Mus musculus: one gene and its partners. The protein of the gene in region 2 purifies or fractionates together with the protein of the main gene of each other region. This does not show direct contact. Links are inferred from orthologs where the notes say so. Each region holds a gene or a part of one and is shown on either strand. Other genes may lie near its edges.

What was found.
Region 1: the proteins of Eef1a1 (region 2) and Eef1b2 purify together in Homo sapiens (affinity purification with mass spectrometry; 3 studies listed by BioGRID and IntAct, counting the BioPlex papers as one, with this or other methods). This does not show direct contact. The link is inferred for Mus musculus from reciprocal best matches to the Homo sapiens genes EEF1A1 and EEF1B2.
Region 3: the proteins of Eef1a1 (region 2) and Snw1 purify together in Homo sapiens (affinity purification with mass spectrometry; 3 studies listed by BioGRID and IntAct, with this or other methods). This does not show direct contact. The link is inferred for Mus musculus from reciprocal best matches to the Homo sapiens genes EEF1A1 and SNW1.
Region 4: the proteins of Eef1a1 (region 2) and Vars purify together in Homo sapiens (affinity purification with mass spectrometry; 3 studies listed by BioGRID and IntAct, counting the BioPlex papers as one, with this or other methods). This does not show direct contact. The link is inferred for Mus musculus from reciprocal best matches to the Homo sapiens genes EEF1A1 and VARS1.

The regions. Positions count from the first base shown.
Region 1 is NC_000067.6:63,175,405-63,179,667, forward strand, and holds the start of Eef1b2 (elongation factor 1-beta), read left to right. Parts: upstream 1-1,426; 5' UTR 1,427-1,807; coding exon 1,808-1,887; intron 1,888-2,349; coding exon 2,350-2,472; intron 2,473-3,034; coding exon 3,035-3,161; intron 3,162-3,272; exon of another isoform or gene 3,273-3,350; intron 3,351-3,427; coding exon 3,428-3,494; intron 3,495-3,618; exon of another isoform or gene 3,619-3,731; intron 3,732-3,843; coding exon 3,844-3,969; intron 3,970-4,053; coding exon 4,054-4,208; 3' UTR 4,209-4,263. UniProt on the Homo sapiens protein: Catalytic subunit of the guanine nucleotide exchange factor (GEF) (eEF1B subcomplex) of the eukaryotic elongation factor 1 complex (eEF1).
Region 2 is NC_000075.6:78,478,899-78,483,223, reverse strand, and holds the start of Eef1a1 (elongation factor 1-alpha 1), read left to right. Parts: upstream 1-1,499; 5' UTR 1,500-1,585; intron 1,586-2,535; 5' UTR 2,536-2,569; coding exon 2,570-2,713; intron 2,714-2,803; coding exon 2,804-2,983; intron 2,984-3,075; coding exon 3,076-3,372; intron 3,373-3,449; coding exon 3,450-3,600; intron 3,601-3,689; coding exon 3,690-3,946; intron 3,947-4,031; coding exon 4,032-4,266; intron 4,267-4,325. UniProt on the Homo sapiens protein: Translation elongation factor that catalyzes the GTP-dependent binding of aminoacyl-tRNA (aa-tRNA) to the A-site of ribosomes during the elongation phase of protein synthesis.
Region 3 is NC_000078.6:87,469,463-87,473,541, reverse strand, and holds the start of Snw1 (SNW domain-containing protein 1), read left to right. Parts: upstream 1-1,242; 5' UTR 1,243-1,280; coding exon 1,281-1,294; intron 1,295-4,079. UniProt on the Homo sapiens protein: Involved in pre-mRNA splicing as component of the spliceosome. As a component of the minor spliceosome, involved in the splicing of U12-type introns in pre-mRNAs.
Region 4 is NC_000083.6:34,999,661-35,003,743, forward strand, and holds the start of Vars (valine--tRNA ligase), read left to right. Parts: upstream 1-1,246; 5' UTR 1,247-1,572; intron 1,573-1,602; exon of another isoform or gene 1,603-1,751; 5' UTR 1,752-1,783; coding exon 1,784-2,170; intron 2,171-4,083. Other genes in the region: D17H6S56E-5 (uncharacterized protein LOC110956), read right to left, coding at 339-441. UniProt on the Homo sapiens protein: Catalyzes the attachment of valine to tRNA(Val).

The DNA.
Region 1 (4,263 bases), on a different chromosome or scaffold from region 2:
GGTGGGTGGGGCGGGTGCCTGTGAAAGTTAAAGGACACCCTTTGAAAGTCAGTTCTTTCTTTCCATCAATGTGGGTCCTGGAGATCTAACTCAGGATGTCAGGATTGGCAAGCATCATTTCCAACTAAGATCTTTCCCAGCTCTAATATGTATTTTAGACATAGTATCTACCAAATAGGAACAAAAATAGCCAGTCAAGTCAGGGATGTAGCTCAGTTAGTAGAGTCCTTACCTAATCACACACAAAGTTCTCCGTTCAATCCTCACATCTCAGCCTCCCCTTTCTGGAATTACAGACAGGTACCATCATCACACCCTGGCTCTAATATCTTGGCTGTATCTTATAAAAGTAACTTTCTAAAAGGCGCTGATGAGCTGGCTTAGAATATTAGATTTAGTGATGGGGTGGGGGTGGATCCCAGAAATCTGTTTGGTCTTACAGACATGAACCTCACAAACTTGAAGACACCGCAGCTTCCTGATCTGCAGCGGACTCCAGGCTAACTTTTTAAGATTCATTTTTAGTTTATGTGTGCATGTGCTTATCTGTGTGTGGGTAATGTGCACTTCTAAGTGCCGGTGCTCACAGTCCAAAAGAGAGTGGAGAATTCCCTGATAAGGTTACATGGCAGCTGGGAGTCTTCTGACTGGGCTAGTGGGAACCGAACTCGGATCCTCTCTGCAAGGCACTCTTAACCGCTTGACTCTCCCTCCAGCTCCGACTGAGCTAACTTTTAGTTTTTGTCAGTTCTCCCCGTCGGTGGAATGAATAAAATACTACCCAACATGATCACCGGGCTAGACAAAAACAAACAGTAGCGTGGACAGGTTCAAGACAGCAACTAAACCGATGCCTGAGGTTTAAGTCTCTCGTGACCCTGGGAGATGAACCGGTCTCCTGATGACAGGGCCATCTCCTGTCTTCCCCTGCAAAGAGAGAGTAGCTCGCAAGCCCGGACTCCCAAAGGTCTCCTGATCGGCTTAGGCTCCATCAGACCAGAAACCAAGGCTCATAACCCTCACCTGCCGGCTCTCCCGGGTTCCAGAGGTGGCGGGGCAGGAGCTGGTACCCAGTCAAGGGCAAGAGGAGAACGGCTTGTCTGACCTATGGGATGCAGACCTGCCAAAAAAGAAAACACCACTCGAAGCGCTTCAACTTGCCCACTTCAACGCGTCCTCACCTTTCCTCCGGAGCCCACCGAGTAGTTCCGCGGACCTGTCCGGGTCTCCCTGACCCCTCAAAACCCTGGCCGCTAAGTCAATATGGCGGCCACGGCAACCTCTGTCAGCCCGACCTGGAGGACGGAAAGCCAGGAGGGACTAGAAACACAGATTCGACTGTTTTTCCCCGTCTTCGGACCTGTTCGGCAATTTCCGAGAGCGAGCCCGGGAGGAAGCGGAGAAGACGACTTGGACCTGCAGTTCCGCCGGAAGTAGCCGAGGCCTTGCGTCCGAGCGCTTTCGTTCAACTCCGGCTCCTCAGAGGGCGTTTCCCTTCGTTTCGGAGTCCTTGGAGCGAAGGCATTTTAAAATGCCTCCTTTATTAATTTTCTTCCAAAGACAAGGGAAGGCCGGCGGACGACCTGTGGGCCCTTTAGTTACCAAGTCGCAGTGGTACGCGGAGGACCGAGACTAGGAACGGACCTTGACCTTTAACCTCTAGCCGGGGCGGCGGAGGGAAACGCCTCCGTCTCTATATAAGGAGTTTTCCGGACGCTCTGGGTCCTTTTTTTCCCTCAGCGCTGGCCGCGGCCTCCCGGCGCTCTCGTCCTCCGCTTTTGCACAGCTCCCCGTTCCAGCCTTCGCCATGGGATTCGGAGACCTGAAAACCCCTGCCGGCCTCCAGGTGCTCAACGATTACCTGGCGGACAAGAGCTACATTGAGGGGTGAGCAGGAGCCGAGAGGCTGGGGGGCCGGGGCCACGTGGCGCGGGCTCGGCGGGAAGGAAGCGGGTCTCCGGATGCTGGGGGACGCCGAGTCAGTGCTCCCGGGGCCGGGATGCCAATGGAGCGGGACCTCCCGGGAGGGGCTGCCAGCATTATAATTGAGATGATGCTTGCTCTCCGTGTGCCCACGTCCAGCTGGTTCTTCCGCGTCTTTGGACAAGTTAGTTTGTTAGTTGAAACCTGTGGCAAGTCTGGTGGGATGAGTTCTCCTGGGTGGCAGATAGTTCTTGGGCTTGCCTAGATTCAAACATGTTCTGTGTCCTTTCAATGAGAAGCAACTTAGGCTAGCCCTGTAATTGTTCTCACTAGTTAGCTTGACGGATATGGGCTATGTCATTTACCAGCTAGTGTTTGTGTCTTTTCTTTTAAAGGTCTGTGCACTTGTTTTTGTGTCACTGGCAGGTACGTGCCATCACAAGCAGACGTGGCAGTATTTGAAGCAGTTTCTGGTCCACCACCTGCTGACCTGTGTCATGCCCTACGTTGGTATAATCACATCAAGTCGTATGAAAAAGAAAAGGCCAGGTAAAGGTATCTTTGTGCTACCTGGATTTTCACATGCAAAGTAGGGACCGGGTTAAAGTTGGCTTTAGCATTGCTGACCTAGTGTGAGCTGAATTTCTTTGTGACCTTACAAGGCCAAGAGACTGAAGTCCTCCATTTTCTCACAGAACAGGTAGAACATGGACAACCGCAGTTCACCTTTCCCACACCTCTCTGATCATGTGCTTTGGACCTGGGGGGGCCACCGCTGGGGTGTGAGGGTAGCTCGCTCATTCGGTCCCTGGCCATTCTTCTGAAACTACCAGCAAGGGTGGAAGTTTGGGGAAGTGGATTCCAGTTCACTAAGAATGGAAGTGAGCATACTTAATGAAATCTCAAACAGATGTTCATTCTGAAAGAGTAAGCCGTAGTGAGTACTGAATACAATGTCTCCCATGGGTGAAGAGTAAAGTTATTTGCCTGGGATTGTGCTAAAGGTTAAATAACCAGAAGAGAGTGGGAGTTCCTGGGAAAGGAAGATTGTGTGTTTTGCCTAGAAAGGGCTTTGACACTGACCTAATGTGGCAGAATGTTTGTTTTCAAGCCTGCCGGGAGTGAAGAAATCTTTGGGCAAGTATGGCCCTAGCAGTGTAGAAGACACCACAGGAAGTGGAGCTGCAGATGCTAAGGATGATGACGACATTGATCTCTTTGGATCTGATGATGAGGAGGTATGACTTCATCTTTATCCAAGCATATTGAGAAGCCTGAGGACAGATGCCATAGCCACTCCCTGGATGGATCCTGGCGTGGCTTTATTGTCTGCCTTTTAAAATTTATCACTGGGTACATGATGAATAAAATCAAATCACCTTCTTTCGGCTGAGCTCCTGATGGATTTGCTTTTTCTGATAAATCTGGTGGGTTTTGTGATGACCTTGTCACTACATTTAAGCAGAAGATAACCAACTTTGTGAAACATCTTTTCTCTGTACAGGAAAGTGAGGAAGCAAAGAAGCTACGAGAAGAACGCCTTGCACAGTATGAGTCCAAGAAAGCTAAAAGTGGGTAATCTTCATTGTTAGTAGTGTTGATTTCAGGAGCTTGTCCAGTGCTTGCCCTAAAGTGGATTTTCCCCAGTTAAATTGAATGGGTCAATATTTTAAAACTTCCACAGCTACTGGTCTACAGCTGTCTTTATGGTAGCAGTTGTAGCATTCCTCTGTGGGAAAGAAACTGTTACACAATTTAATGCCTCTTTCTTAGCCACACAGGAGGAGGATTATGTGTGACAGACACAAGGCAAATTGTGTGTGTGTTTGACAAAAAGATGGTCTGTTTTAAAACAAATTTGAGATTTGACTTAATGGTGAAAGTGTTGAGTGTTTAGGTGCACTTCTTAATCTTCCTTAGAGCCTGCAGTTGTTGCGAAGTCTTCCATCCTACTAGACGTGAAGCCTTGGGATGATGAGACGGACATGACAAAACTAGAGGAGTGTGTCCGAAGCATTCAAGCAGATGGCCTGGTGTGGGGCTCCTGTAAGTGTGATGCTTGTGTTTTAGGGATTTGTGCGTTTTCCCGTAAGGATTTCCTAACATTTACCCCTTGATGTTCTTTTTTAGCTAAATTGGTTCCAGTGGGATATGGAATTAAAAAGCTTCAAATACAGTGTGTAGTTGAAGATGATAAGGTTGGAACGGATATGCTGGAAGAGCAAATTACTGCTTTTGAGGACTACGTACAGTCCATGGATGTGGCTGCTTTTAACAAGATTTAAATCATTCTTAAGTCAGTGCACTTAAATAAAAGCTTGAAAGATAACCCTTGGCTCT
Region 2 (4,325 bases):
AATAGTTGAAAACTAGAACTAGACAAGAAATGAGAAGCATCATGTAAATTTGCTTTGAACTGGTTCCAAATTGTTTTATATTTAAGTTTTTCCCTTGACTGTGGAACTCTTCCCCAGAAACAAATAGTTCCTTTGCAAATCCTGTGTGTTTTTGTGAACACTAGACAGAGGCCCTCAAATGCTCCTAGTAAGGTTGGTGCAAGAACATCAAATGTTTGTAACTGGGAAGTGATGTTGTACACCTGGGAGAGGAGATCCAATGATGGATAATCAGATAGGATATCTTTGAGCTAGGAACTGTAACTTGGTGATAGACACCCTAGGGTTCCATCTCCAGCACCCCATATCCCATTACAAAATAATTCTTTTTCCATCTCTAGCATTAAAAAACAAAACAAAGAAGTTCTTCTTTCCTCTGAGAAACACTTCTGTGTGCCTGCTCTGAGAGGCATTTAAAAATGGCCAGGGCTTTAATCCCAGCAGGTCCAGGTCGGATTCCTGTGAATTTGAAGTCAGCCTGGTCTACTACCTATTCCAGGGCAGCCAGGGCTAAAAAAGAGAGACCTTGTCTCAATAACAAAACAATGCTGGTATGATCGCTAGAATTGCAGCAAAGAAAGGGATGTAACTAACAAGGCAAGCCATTTTTGAGAAGCAGTGATTTCACAAGTGTTAGGGATGGGCGCTGGGAGATTGCTGATGCTGGTATTTAGATGAGACCATGTGGGGTGGATTAGATTATTTTCAGGTTTCTCATGTTCAATCAAATGGCTGTACATACACATGTACACATACAATCTTTTTAGTGTAACAAACCTAGAATCAAAGTAAAGCTAACTGTAGGATTGAAGCATATTCTGAACTGAACCCTTAGGGGTGTGAAGGCCGCTTCAGGTTTCCAGAGAATCAACCGGCATTGGATGGAATAAACCAAGGGGCCAGCCCAGGGGCAGATCGGTCGAGCTCTCCGCTACTGAGCTAAGCCCTTGGGTTCTAGAGCCGGGAAGGGTCCCCAACATTGTGTTCCTCTCCCAGCCAGGAGAGCATGGGCTGCGGGAGGCGAACAGAAGGATAGCGGGGCTGACGTCGGGAGGTGGCCTCCGTGGGAAGGGACACCCGGATCTTGACACAGCCTTGGCAGCGGAGTAAGGAAGAGTAGGGATAGATTCTGGCCGCCCTCTTGGCCAGCTTCTCGCCGCCCCACCCTCCGCTAGGGCCAAGAGTAATTCATACAAAAGGAGGGATCGCCTTCGCCTGGGGAAGTCCCAGGGACCGTCGCTAAATTCTCATAACCCATAATCCCGGTACCCGCCCCACCACAGTGCGAGGAGCATGCGCTCAGGGCTGAGCGCGGGGAGAGCAGAGCACACAAGCTCATAGACCCTGGTCGTGGGGGGAGGGGCGCACTGAGCGGGGGGGGGGGGGGTGATGGGGGGGAGGACCGGGGAGCTGGCGCGGGGCAAACTGGGAAAGCGGTGTCGTGTGCTGGCTCCGCCCTCTTCCCGAGGGTGGGGGAGAACGGTATATAAGTGCGGCAGTCGCCTTGGACGTTCTTTTTCGCAACGGGTTTGCCGTCAGAACGCAGGTGAGGGGCGGGTGTGGCTTCCGCGGGCCGCCGAGCTGGAGGTCCTGCTCCGAGCGGGCCGGGCCCCGCTGTCGTCGGCGGGGATTAGCTGCGAGCATTCCCGCTTCGAGTTGCGGGCGGCGCGGGAGGCAGAGTGCGAGGCCTAGCGGCAACCCCGTAGCCTCGCCTCGTGTCCGGCTTGAGGCCTAGCGTGGTGTCCGCGCCGCCGCCGCGTGCTACTCCGGCCGCACTCTGGTCTTTTTTTTTTTGTTGTTGTTGTTGCCCTGCTGCCTTCGATTGCCGTTCAGCAATAGGGGCTAACAAAGGGAGGGTGCGGGGCTTGCTCGCCCGGAGCCCGGAGAGGTCATGGTTGGGGAGGAATGGAGGGACAGGAGTGGCGGCTGGGGCCCGCCCGCCTTCGGAGCACATGTCCGACGCCACCTGGATGGGGCGAGGCCTGGGGTTTTTCCCGAAGCAACCAGGCTGGGGTTAGCGTGCCGAGGCCATGTGGCCCCAGCACCCGGCACGATCTGGCTTGGCGGCGCCGCGTTGCCCTGCCTCCCTAACTAGGGTGAGGCCATCCCGTCCGGCACCAGTTGCGTGCGTGGAAAGATGGCCGCTCCCGGGCCCTGTTGCAAGGAGCTCAAAATGGAGGACGCGGCAGCCCGGTGGAGCGGGCGGGTGAGTCACCCACACAAAGGAAGAGGGCCTGGTCCCTCACCGGCTGCTGCTTCCTGTGACCCCGTGGTCCTATCGGCCGCAATAGTCACCTCGGGCTTTTGAGCACGGCTAGTCGCGGCGGGGGGAGGGGATGTAATGGCGTTGGAGTTTGTTCACATTTGGTGGGTGGAGACTAGTCAGGCCAGCCTGGCGCTGGAAGTCATTTTTGGAATTTGTCCCCTTGAGTTTTGAGCGGAGCTAATTCTCGGGCTTCTTAGCGGTTCAAAGGTATCTTTTAAACCCTTTTTTAGGTGTTGTGAAAACCACCGCTAATTCAAAGCAAAAATGGGAAAGGAAAAGACTCACATCAACATCGTCGTAATCGGACACGTAGATTCCGGCAAGTCCACCACAACCGGCCACCTGATCTACAAATGTGGTGGAATCGACAAGCGAACCATCGAAAAGTTTGAGAAGGAGGCTGCTGAGGCAAGTATAAGGCAAAAGGAGGGATGGGAATTCTTTAAGCAGGGAGTAGAACCTAGGTCTTGGGTGTACTAATTAGAAGTCACTTTGCAGATGGGAAAGGGCTCCTTCAAGTACGCCTGGGTCTTAGACAAACTGAAAGCTGAGCGTGAGCGTGGTATCACTATTGACATCTCCCTGTGGAAATTCGAGACCAGCAAATACTATGTGACCATCATTGATGCCCCAGGACACAGAGACTTCATCAAAAACATGATTACAGGCACATCCCAGGTGTGTAAAATTTACCCATTCCTGACTCAGGATATTTTTTAGTGGGGTGCTTTCTCTGAGATAATGGTATATGATTGTCTTGTTTCTTACAGGCTGACTGTGCTGTCCTGATTGTTGCTGCTGGTGTTGGTGAATTTGAAGCTGGTATCTCCAAGAACGGGCAGACCCGCGAGCATGCTCTTCTGGCTTACACCCTGGGTGTGAAACAGCTGATTGTTGGTGTCAACAAAATGGATTCCACCGAGCCACCATACAGTCAGAAGAGATACGAGGAAATCGTTAAGGAAGTCAGCACCTACATTAAGAAAATTGGCTACAACCCTGACACAGTAGCATTTGTGCCAATTTCTGGTTGGAATGGTGACAACATGCTGGAGCCAAGTGCTAATGTAAGTGACTTTTAAGGTAGTTGAATGGAGAAAGCCGCAATAAGTAAGGAGGTTATAATTGACTGCCTGTGTTTTAGATGCCTTGGTTCAAGGGATGGAAAGTCACCCGCAAAGATGGCAGTGCCAGTGGCACCACGCTGCTGGAAGCTTTGGATTGTATCCTACCACCAACTCGTCCAACTGACAAGCCCCTGCGACTGCCCCTCCAGGATGTCTATAAAATTGGAGGTAAGTAGAATATTAAGTAGAATGTTGACGTGAATTTGAAGTCTTATGTTTTGTGTATTAAATACTTATACAAAACAATACTATTTTAGGCATTGGCACTGTCCCTGTGGGCCGAGTGGAGACTGGTGTTCTCAAGCCTGGCATGGTGGTTACCTTTGCTCCAGTCAATGTAACAACTGAAGTCAAGTCTGTTGAAATGCACCATGAAGCTTTGAGTGAAGCTCTTCCTGGGGACAATGTGGGCTTCAATGTAAAGAACGTGTCGGTCAAAGATGTTAGACGAGGCAATGTTGCTGGTGACAGCAAAAACGACCCACCAATGGAAGCAGCTGGCTTCACTGCTCAGGTGACACATTTTTAAGATAGGTGGCTAGATTGGTTGTGTGTGCAGAATCACAAGGCAAGACTTAAATACACGCTGTTTTTCTTAGGTGATTATCCTGAACCATCCAGGCCAAATCAGTGCTGGCTACGCTCCTGTTCTGGATTGTCACACAGCCCACATAGCATGCAAGTTTGCTGAGCTTAAAGAAAAGATCGATCGTCGTTCTGGTAAGAAGCTGGAAGATGGCCCCAAGTTCCTGAAGTCTGGCGATGCTGCCATTGTTGATATGGTCCCTGGCAAGCCCATGTGTGTTGAGAGCTTCTCTGACTACCCTCCACTTGGTAAGCCTGATCTGAGTCTGCTACACTGAACATCAAGTTTGTAATAGGAAATGTTGCTT
Region 3 (4,079 bases), on a different chromosome or scaffold from region 2:
TTTAGTCTCTCATTACCATAGAAAACCAGTGTGTGGCAAGAAGAGTCCTTTTGTTTGTTTGGCGTGGTGATTTACTTATGCTTAGTGCAAGGTGTGGTACTCTCAGGAGGTATGGCATTGTTGGAGGAGGTTTGCCACTGTGGATGTAGGACTTTGAAGAGATCTATATCTACTCAAGCTCTGCCCAGAGTGAGACAAGCAGTCTCTCCTTACTGCCTTCAAATTGGCTTGCTGAACTCTCAGCTCCTTCTCCAGCACTATGTCTGCCTGGATGCTGCTATAATGATAATGAACTGAACCCCTGAAAATTTAAGCCAGCTACAAGTGATATTTTCCTTTATAAAAGTTGCCTCAGTCATGGCATCTTTTCACAGTAATGGGTACACTAAGACAGTTTGGTTTTAGTCTTTTGAGACAGGGTTTCTTTGTGTAGTCTTGGCCATCCTAGAACTAGCTCTGTAGACCAGACTGGCTTTGAACTCACAGTGATCTACCTCTGGGATTAAAGGCATGTGCCTCAACTGCTGGACTAAGAACTGTCTTTCTTGAGCTGCATTCAGTGGCAAAGACCTTTGATCCTAACACTTAGGAGGCAGTGTCAAGCTGATGTCAGATCATGACCAGCTTGGTCTATAGGAAAAGTTCCAAGGCAGCCAGGACTACACAGAAAAACCCTATCTCAGAAAGAAATAATTGTCTTTCTTACCTGTCTCAGTCCTACTTCAGCTCCAAATTATCAGCTGAACTAAATCTACGCTCATTGATCTTAATTTCTAGCATCTTCTTTATTTGCCACACCCCACACTGTTTTTTAAATAATTCATTCGTGAAGCAAAATTTAAAGTAGATGACTGTTAACACAACGATTAACTATATGCACGGAGGGTGGCTTATAGTGGGGGATCAGCCAGACTTTGCATCCTATTCAAAACTCTTAAGCAGTACTATGTGTAGCGGCCTTAAAGCAGAGTTGGATAATAGTATTAGCGTCCCAAAATAAGGCTTTATATCATATTTTGTATTATCACTACTGACATGTTAAACAGAGACCCTGTAGCCTGTAAAATCTACAGAAGTAAGGAATTTCGTATGCTAAGGTAGTTGTTGCTAACGCACTTTCAACAGACTGGCTGTCACAAGTCTCTCTCAAAGAACTACAAGGCCCAGAGGGCCGTTCGGTCAGAGCGCCTGCGCAGTGAGCATTTTTCCATTGTGTTCCTCGTTCCCGGGCAAGACTCGCCCGGCGACGTTGTGGCCTGCGCAGGAAGAAGCGGAAGAAGATGGCGCTCACCAGGTGGGTTGTTGATTTGGGTCCTCGATACGGAAGGGTCTGGAGTACACATCTTTTCCTTTCTGCCCGTACTGTTCGGGCTGTGACCTGGCCTGAGGCGCAGAAGTAACTTAGTCAAAACCGTGGCTGGAACCTCTCTCGGGCTTCCTCCGCGACTAGGCCGCGCCGAAGCCGGGGTCTTTCCTTCGGGGCTTCCCGGGTTGAGTTCGCCCCCCCCTGTTCCGAGAGCCCTGACATGGCCTCGCCGCGAGGACCTCACATGTGCTTCGCGTAAGCGGCGCGGTAGATTGACGAGCGCCTTGTGGACTGCGGGCTGAGATGGTTGCACTGCGAAGCCGCGGCTTATTTAACCCCGCTAAGCAAAGCTCGCCCGTCTCGTGGGAGGCTTTCCAGCCGCTTGTATGTTTTGTGCTTCTCATTTTCTCCTGCTACTCTCTCTCTCCCGAAACAAAGATTTTTGCAAAAAAAAAAAAAAAAACAAAACAAAAAAACAAAGAGTTGGGAACGTCCGAGAACCGACCAAGTTTTTTTTTAATTGACAGCAGTAGGGGCTGCTGTTGACTAAATGCGCGCCGCTCCACCTTTTAACTTTGGATCTTAGAATTTCTTTTGTACATAGAACCACCTCCGGCTTTTGCTGTTCCTGGTTGCCCTGGTTACTGTATGTAAAGTGTTTCCAACCTTTAAGGAAAAGAAAATGCTAAGTGGGAGACTTCCAAAAAGTTATGTAACTCCCAACTGCTGTAAGTGGAAAAACTTTCCATGCAAACTCAGCTGGAAAAGTCTGATTTTAAAGAAGGTATTCACTTTAGGGCCTTGGATTGTACCTGTTAAACCCACTTCTCATATTTTTTCCTGGCTCATAACAATATGAATCCTAAGAATATTTTGGTTATATGAATTAAGGTTTGTTGTCCTGCTTTGCCCTAGAGGTAGTATATGTAGAATGAAAAAAAAATTTTTTTTAAACCGGGAAGATGGACAAGTGGGTACACGGATGAAAATAGTGCAGGCGGGAGGATCTCAGAGTTCCAAGGCCAATCAGGTCTGTATAGGTAGTTTAAGGCCAGGATTTAAAAACAAAAACAGAATAACACTGACCTGGTTAGCTTTAACTGTCTGCTTAACACCTGGTCAAAAGATATCAGGTGAAAAAATTGCCTAGAACAGATTGGCTTATGGACATGTCTGGAAAGGATTGTTTTTCTTGCTAAGAGATGCAGGAAGATCCAAACCACTAATGGCTGCTCCATTCCCTAGGCGGGATATCCTGAACAGTATAAGCTAGATGAGTATAAGCCACTCTGCCAACCAGCAAGCAGCTTACATGGTGCCTAGCCTGCCTGCCTGCTTGCCTCCCTCCTTCCTTCTCTGCAAGAAAGCAAGTCCCTCTTGCTCTTGATTGTCTGTGGGATTTCACTAGCTGCCTTGACATCTCTCGTGGGTTTTAACCTGGAATTAAAAGCCAAATGTACTGGCTGGGTTTGTGTGTCAATTTGACACAAGCTCAATTTATCACACAGATAGGAGCCTCACTTAAGGAAATGCCTCCACGAGATCCAGCTGTAAGGCACTTACTCAATTAGTGATCAAAGGCGGGAGGGCCCAGCCAATTGTGGGTTGTGTCATCCCTGGGCTGGTAGTTCTGGGTTTTATAAGAAAGCGAACTGAGCAAGCCAGGGGAAGCAATCCAGAAAGCAGCAGCCTCCATGGGTACTGCATGAGCTCCTACCTCCAAGTTCCTGCCCTGTGCGAGTCCCTTTCCTTACTTTCTTTGGTGATAAACAGCATTGTGTAAGTGTAAGCTCAATAAACCCTTTCCTCCCCCTACTTGCTTCTTGGTCATGATGTTTTGTGCAAGAATACATACAGTGACTAAGACATCAGATAAGCCCTTCCTCCTGTAAATTGTGTTTTGCCGCAGTTTTTTAACAACAGCCACAGAAATGAAACTGGAACCAACAGATGATGTACTGGTACATCAACAGATGTGTGGTCCTAGCCTCGGTACAGAAAAATAAGAGTGAGTTGTGCTGACTGAGTGTTTTAGATAGCAAATATTCGAGTCTTCTTCAGGCACTATGATACAGATTAGTAGGACCATGAGAGGGAAAGTAGAATTTGAAATGGATGCACACAAGAAGAACGCCAGAGGTATAATATGTCTTGAGTGCCTATCAGCAATGCTAAAAGGTGAAGTCTCAAAATGGTCGGGCTTGAGGACTACAAAGCTTTCATTTCTGTGTTTTTAAATGTTGTTTATAAAACTAGCAAATACGGACTGGGGAGGAATAGGTCAGTGGTTCAAAGCAGTGGCTGTTCTTGCAGAGGACCTGGTATGTTTCCCAGCACCCACATGGCAGCTCAGGTTGCTCTGTCTGGTAAATGAATAGTTAATCATAATGCAGAAAGTTGGATGGTATACACATGGTCTAGACAGCTTTAATCCCAAAACTGGGGAAGCAGCTGGATCTACACAGTGAGAGTCTGTCTGCTGACAATGAAAACAGAAAAACCAATAGGAAAGCACAGTAGCATAATGTGGAATTCCTCTATAATCTCATTACTCTAGAGGCTGAGGCTAGACAGGGACAAGTTCAAGACCAGCCTGGACTACCTAAATAGGCCTTGTTAAAAATTAGGAAGGCCACCAAACCCGGACACTATTGCATATGCCAGAAAGAGTTTGCTGAAGGGACCCTGTTATAGCTGTCTCATATGAGGCTATGCCAGTGCCTGGCAAATACAGAAGTGGATGCTCACAGTCATCTATTGGATGGAACACAGG
Region 4 (4,083 bases), on a different chromosome or scaffold from region 2:
CAACAGGCCTTTCTCCCCCAACCCCCCTTTCTTTTCTTCTTCTTTTTTTCTTGGTTTTTCGAGACAGGGTTTCTCTGTGTAGCTCTGGCTGTCCTCGAACTCAAGAAATCCGCCTGCCTCTGCCTCACACTCATAAGTGCTGGGATTAAAGGCATGCGCCACCACTGCCAGGCTAGCAGTGGCCTCTCAAAAGCACTGCGAACTTATGTTTTCCCTCTAGGTTTGAGCTTTAGTAGACCAGCTGGAGTGCTTCTGCCTTTGGGTCCCCTGCCCTTCCTTCACGTGACTCCATGTCAGGCAGTGAGCGCTCAGCACCTAGAGCCCCTTTCCTGTTTTACCTGGGTTAGATCCGAGGATCTTCCGCGAACTGGCGGTGCACTCCGTTACCAAAAGCCTGACATGGCCTTGAGCACACCCCATCAGTACGCTTTCTAAAAGCATAAGATAAATACAAGCAAGAGACGCGGAACGCACGGTGCATTTACCAACGCCAGGGAATTACCAACCTTTCATTCCCTACAGCAACAGCTCCCAGCAGCCAGGCACTGCTTGTGAAAGACCCCCAAGCTGGGTAGTCAATCACTCTGAGGAGACCCTCCCAAGGATCAGCGAGGCCACGATTCGGATGCAACAGCAAAAGGCTTTATTGGGAACACGGGTACCCGGGCGACTCAGTCTATCGGATGACTGGCGCGCCGAGTGTGGAGTACTTACCCTTCTTATAGGGCTAGGGCTGGGGGGCAAAAAGCGCGGGTACAGAAGCGAGAAGCGAGCTGATTGGTTAGTTTAAATAAGGCTTGGGGTATTTCCCGGTCATTTGGGGAACCTGAAACTGAGGTGGGACTTTCCAGAAACTGTTGCTGGTTTCGCTTTATCTGAGTACCATCTGTTCTTGGCCCTGAGCCGGGGCCCAGGTGCTTGACCACAGATATCCTGTTTGGCCCCTGTCCCGGTATTATTCAGCCTTATTCTTTAACTAAACTTCCTTGTAACTTTTGAGAACTCAGCTCTGGTACTTTATCATGCCTTGCAAAATGGCGTTACTGCAGCTAACTTGCTAAGCCTTATGGTGGGGTCTTTCACTTGGAGCAGCCCGAGATTCTGCAGCTCGCCCTGCAAAAGGCGGAAACCTGGGACCAAGCACGCACTCCAGACACTAGGGCTTTCGTTTTCCCGCGCTCTAGACACGAAGACCCCGGGCTGCCCGCGGCGGCGCCTGACCCGAGGGCCACGGGCTGCCCGCGGCGGCGCCTGACCCAGACCCAGGCTCGTCCCGGCACGCGGGTTCCCGTCTCCGTGCTGCACGAGCCACTCTGGCCCCTGCTTGACCCGTCCGGCAGCGGTGGGCCGCGCACGGACCCTCGGGATCGCGCACGCACAGGCGGGGCCCGGCAGCCCTGCGAGGACCCGAGTCCGGAAACGTGCGCTGTCACAAAGGGGGGGACACGTGGGTGCCGCTGTCCCGGCCGCGTTCTCCCGCAGCGGGAGAGCTGCCTCCGCTGCCCGCCACCTCCACCCCGGCCGCCCTGTGGGGCCGCGGCCGTAGCCGGCCGAGTGTGATCGCCGCCTTCAGTACGTACACGCGGCGCGGCCTCCCCTCTCCAACCCGAGGGGGCGGGCGATCGGGGTCCCGCCTCCTCCTCTAGGCGCTGCTGGCGGCTGCTCGGCCAGGCCTAGGGTCCGGCCGGGCGCCTGCGTACCTTGCAGCACGTGCTCAGGTCCCCTCCTCAATCTGCCGGGTCTCTCCTCAGGTCACTGCACCGCGTTCGGACCCTGCACAGCCATGTCCATCCTCTACGTCTCTCCTCACCCCGACGCCTTCCCCAGCCTCCGAGCCCTCATCGCTGCCCGATACGGGGAAGCTGGTGACGGTCCCGGGTGGGGAGGCCCTCACCCCCGCATCTGCTTGCAGCCTCCCCCGAGCAGCCGGACTCCATTCCCTCCGCCTCGCCTGCCCGCCCTGGAGCAGGGACCTGGCGGCCTGTGGGTGTGGGGGGCCCCGGCTGTAGCTCAGCTGTTGTGGCCTGCAGGCCTGGGGGGACCCGGGGGCAGCCGGGCAGCTGTCCTGGTCCAGCAGTGGGTCAGTTATGCTGACACGGAGCTCATACCCGCTGCCTGCGGGGCGACCCTGCCTGCCCTGGGACTTCGAGGTCCTGGTCAGGATCCCCAGGTGAGAGGGAAGAAAAAGGGAGAAATTCTGACTACACAAACAGGATTGGGAAGAATCCCACGAAAAAAGTCGGTTGTCAGGCGGTCGCATCTCTGCCTGCCACCTGGTGTAGTAACTTTGGGAACACTTTTTCTCGAGCCTTGGTCTTCTATGTCTGAGAATGCAAGATGATGAAATCTCTTCCTTCCTCCGGGGGTGTGATACATGAGCGCCCGGGAGTGGAGCGTGGTTTTGCTGTTTTCACTACGTTTGGAGTGTGTGTGTGTGTGTGTGTGTGTGTGTGTGTGTGTCTTTAAATTAGGTCTCGCTCTAACTGAATGGCTCGGAACGAACGCACTGGTGTGCCAAGCATTCCCAAGTCTGTCTTTGGGTTTCTGTTGCCATGTTTAAAACAACATGACCAAAAGCGCCTTGGGAAAGAAAGGAATTGTTTCAGGTTACAGCTCTCCATCACTGAAGGAAGTCAGACCAGTGACTGGAAGCAGAAACAAAAAGAGGCCGTGCAGGACCGATACTTTCTGGCTCACTTTCCACAGCTTGTTCAGCCTGCTCTTTTATACCGTCCAGGGCTGCTTTGCCAGGGGTGGTATCCCCTACAATGGACTGGCCCTCCACATAATCATTAGTTAAGAAAACGTCCCCACACGCTTACCCACAGGCCAGTCTGGTGGGGACATTTTCCCAATTGAGTTTCCCACTTCGCACGGGCCACTGGCTTAGGTGAGGTTGACAAGGCCCTGGTTGGCAAGTGTGACAGGGATGCAGGATGTGAGCGGTTTTATGTTGAACTGTAGGGAAGACTGGGGAGAGATGACAGTTGCTGGGAGGAGTCAGAGGAGGCTTGAAGTTGAAGGAGAGGCAGGGAGAGGACAGATGACACACCAGATTGTTTCTGTGAGTCCTTCCAGGGTAGACCTGTGTCTGCCTTAACTGAAAGCTCTGCCCCTGCAGGGTAGGGAGTGCATGGTGGCTGCCTAGTGTCACTTCAGTGGGGGAATGAAGGAACAGTGCAGATGGTGACTGGCTTCTTCATATCTGGATGGACTAACAGAGAGCCTCATTCCTGCGGGGTAGTACTTCAGACCTGCGCTCATTTGTGGTTTTCCTGGGTGAAATCTATTGATGCCCAGACCTGGCAGTCTTGTTTCATATAATCCTTTAACTTTAGAGCCTGATATGTTTCCTTGGACTCATAAACTTAAGTGTTTAGTGATAACTTGTTGGATAAATCACACACACAAAATACTTGTGTGTATTCGATTTTTATTTTATGTGTATAAGTGTTTTGCTTGTGTGTGTGTGTGTGTGTGTGTGTGTACACTTGTGTGCCTAGTGGCCAAGGAATCTGGGGACATGTAACGAGGTGTTGTCATAACTTGGTTTACGGACTGTTGTGCACCACCATGTGGGCTCCTGGAACCAAACTCTCTAAGAGCAGCCAGTGTTACAAACGCTGATCTGTGTCATTCACCTCTCCAGTCCTATAATGTATATAATCCAGGGGCCTCCTGCATGCTATGCTAAGTACTCTTCCTTGAACTTTCAGCCAGACTAGAGTTTTGTTGTTGCTTTAAGACAGGGTCTTAACTATGTAGCCTTACCTGAAGTGGGACTGGTTGTGAAGACTAGCAAGCTTTAAAGGCAGATCCCTCTGCCTTGCCTTCGGAGACCTAGGGTTAAGGGCATGGTACCACACCCAGGAGAACTATTTATAGTGACCTTGTGAATGAGGAAGGAAGGAGCCTGAGACCTGGTGGTCAGTGGCTTGAGTCTGGGAAGGTCGTGGACAGGTGGAGTAGTGGCTCTTAACCTTGCCCAGGTCAGGACCCTTCTGAGGGGATGGAAATGACCCTTTCACGGGGGTCACCAAGAAAAACATTGAAAGACAGATATTAAGATTCATTACCATAGCA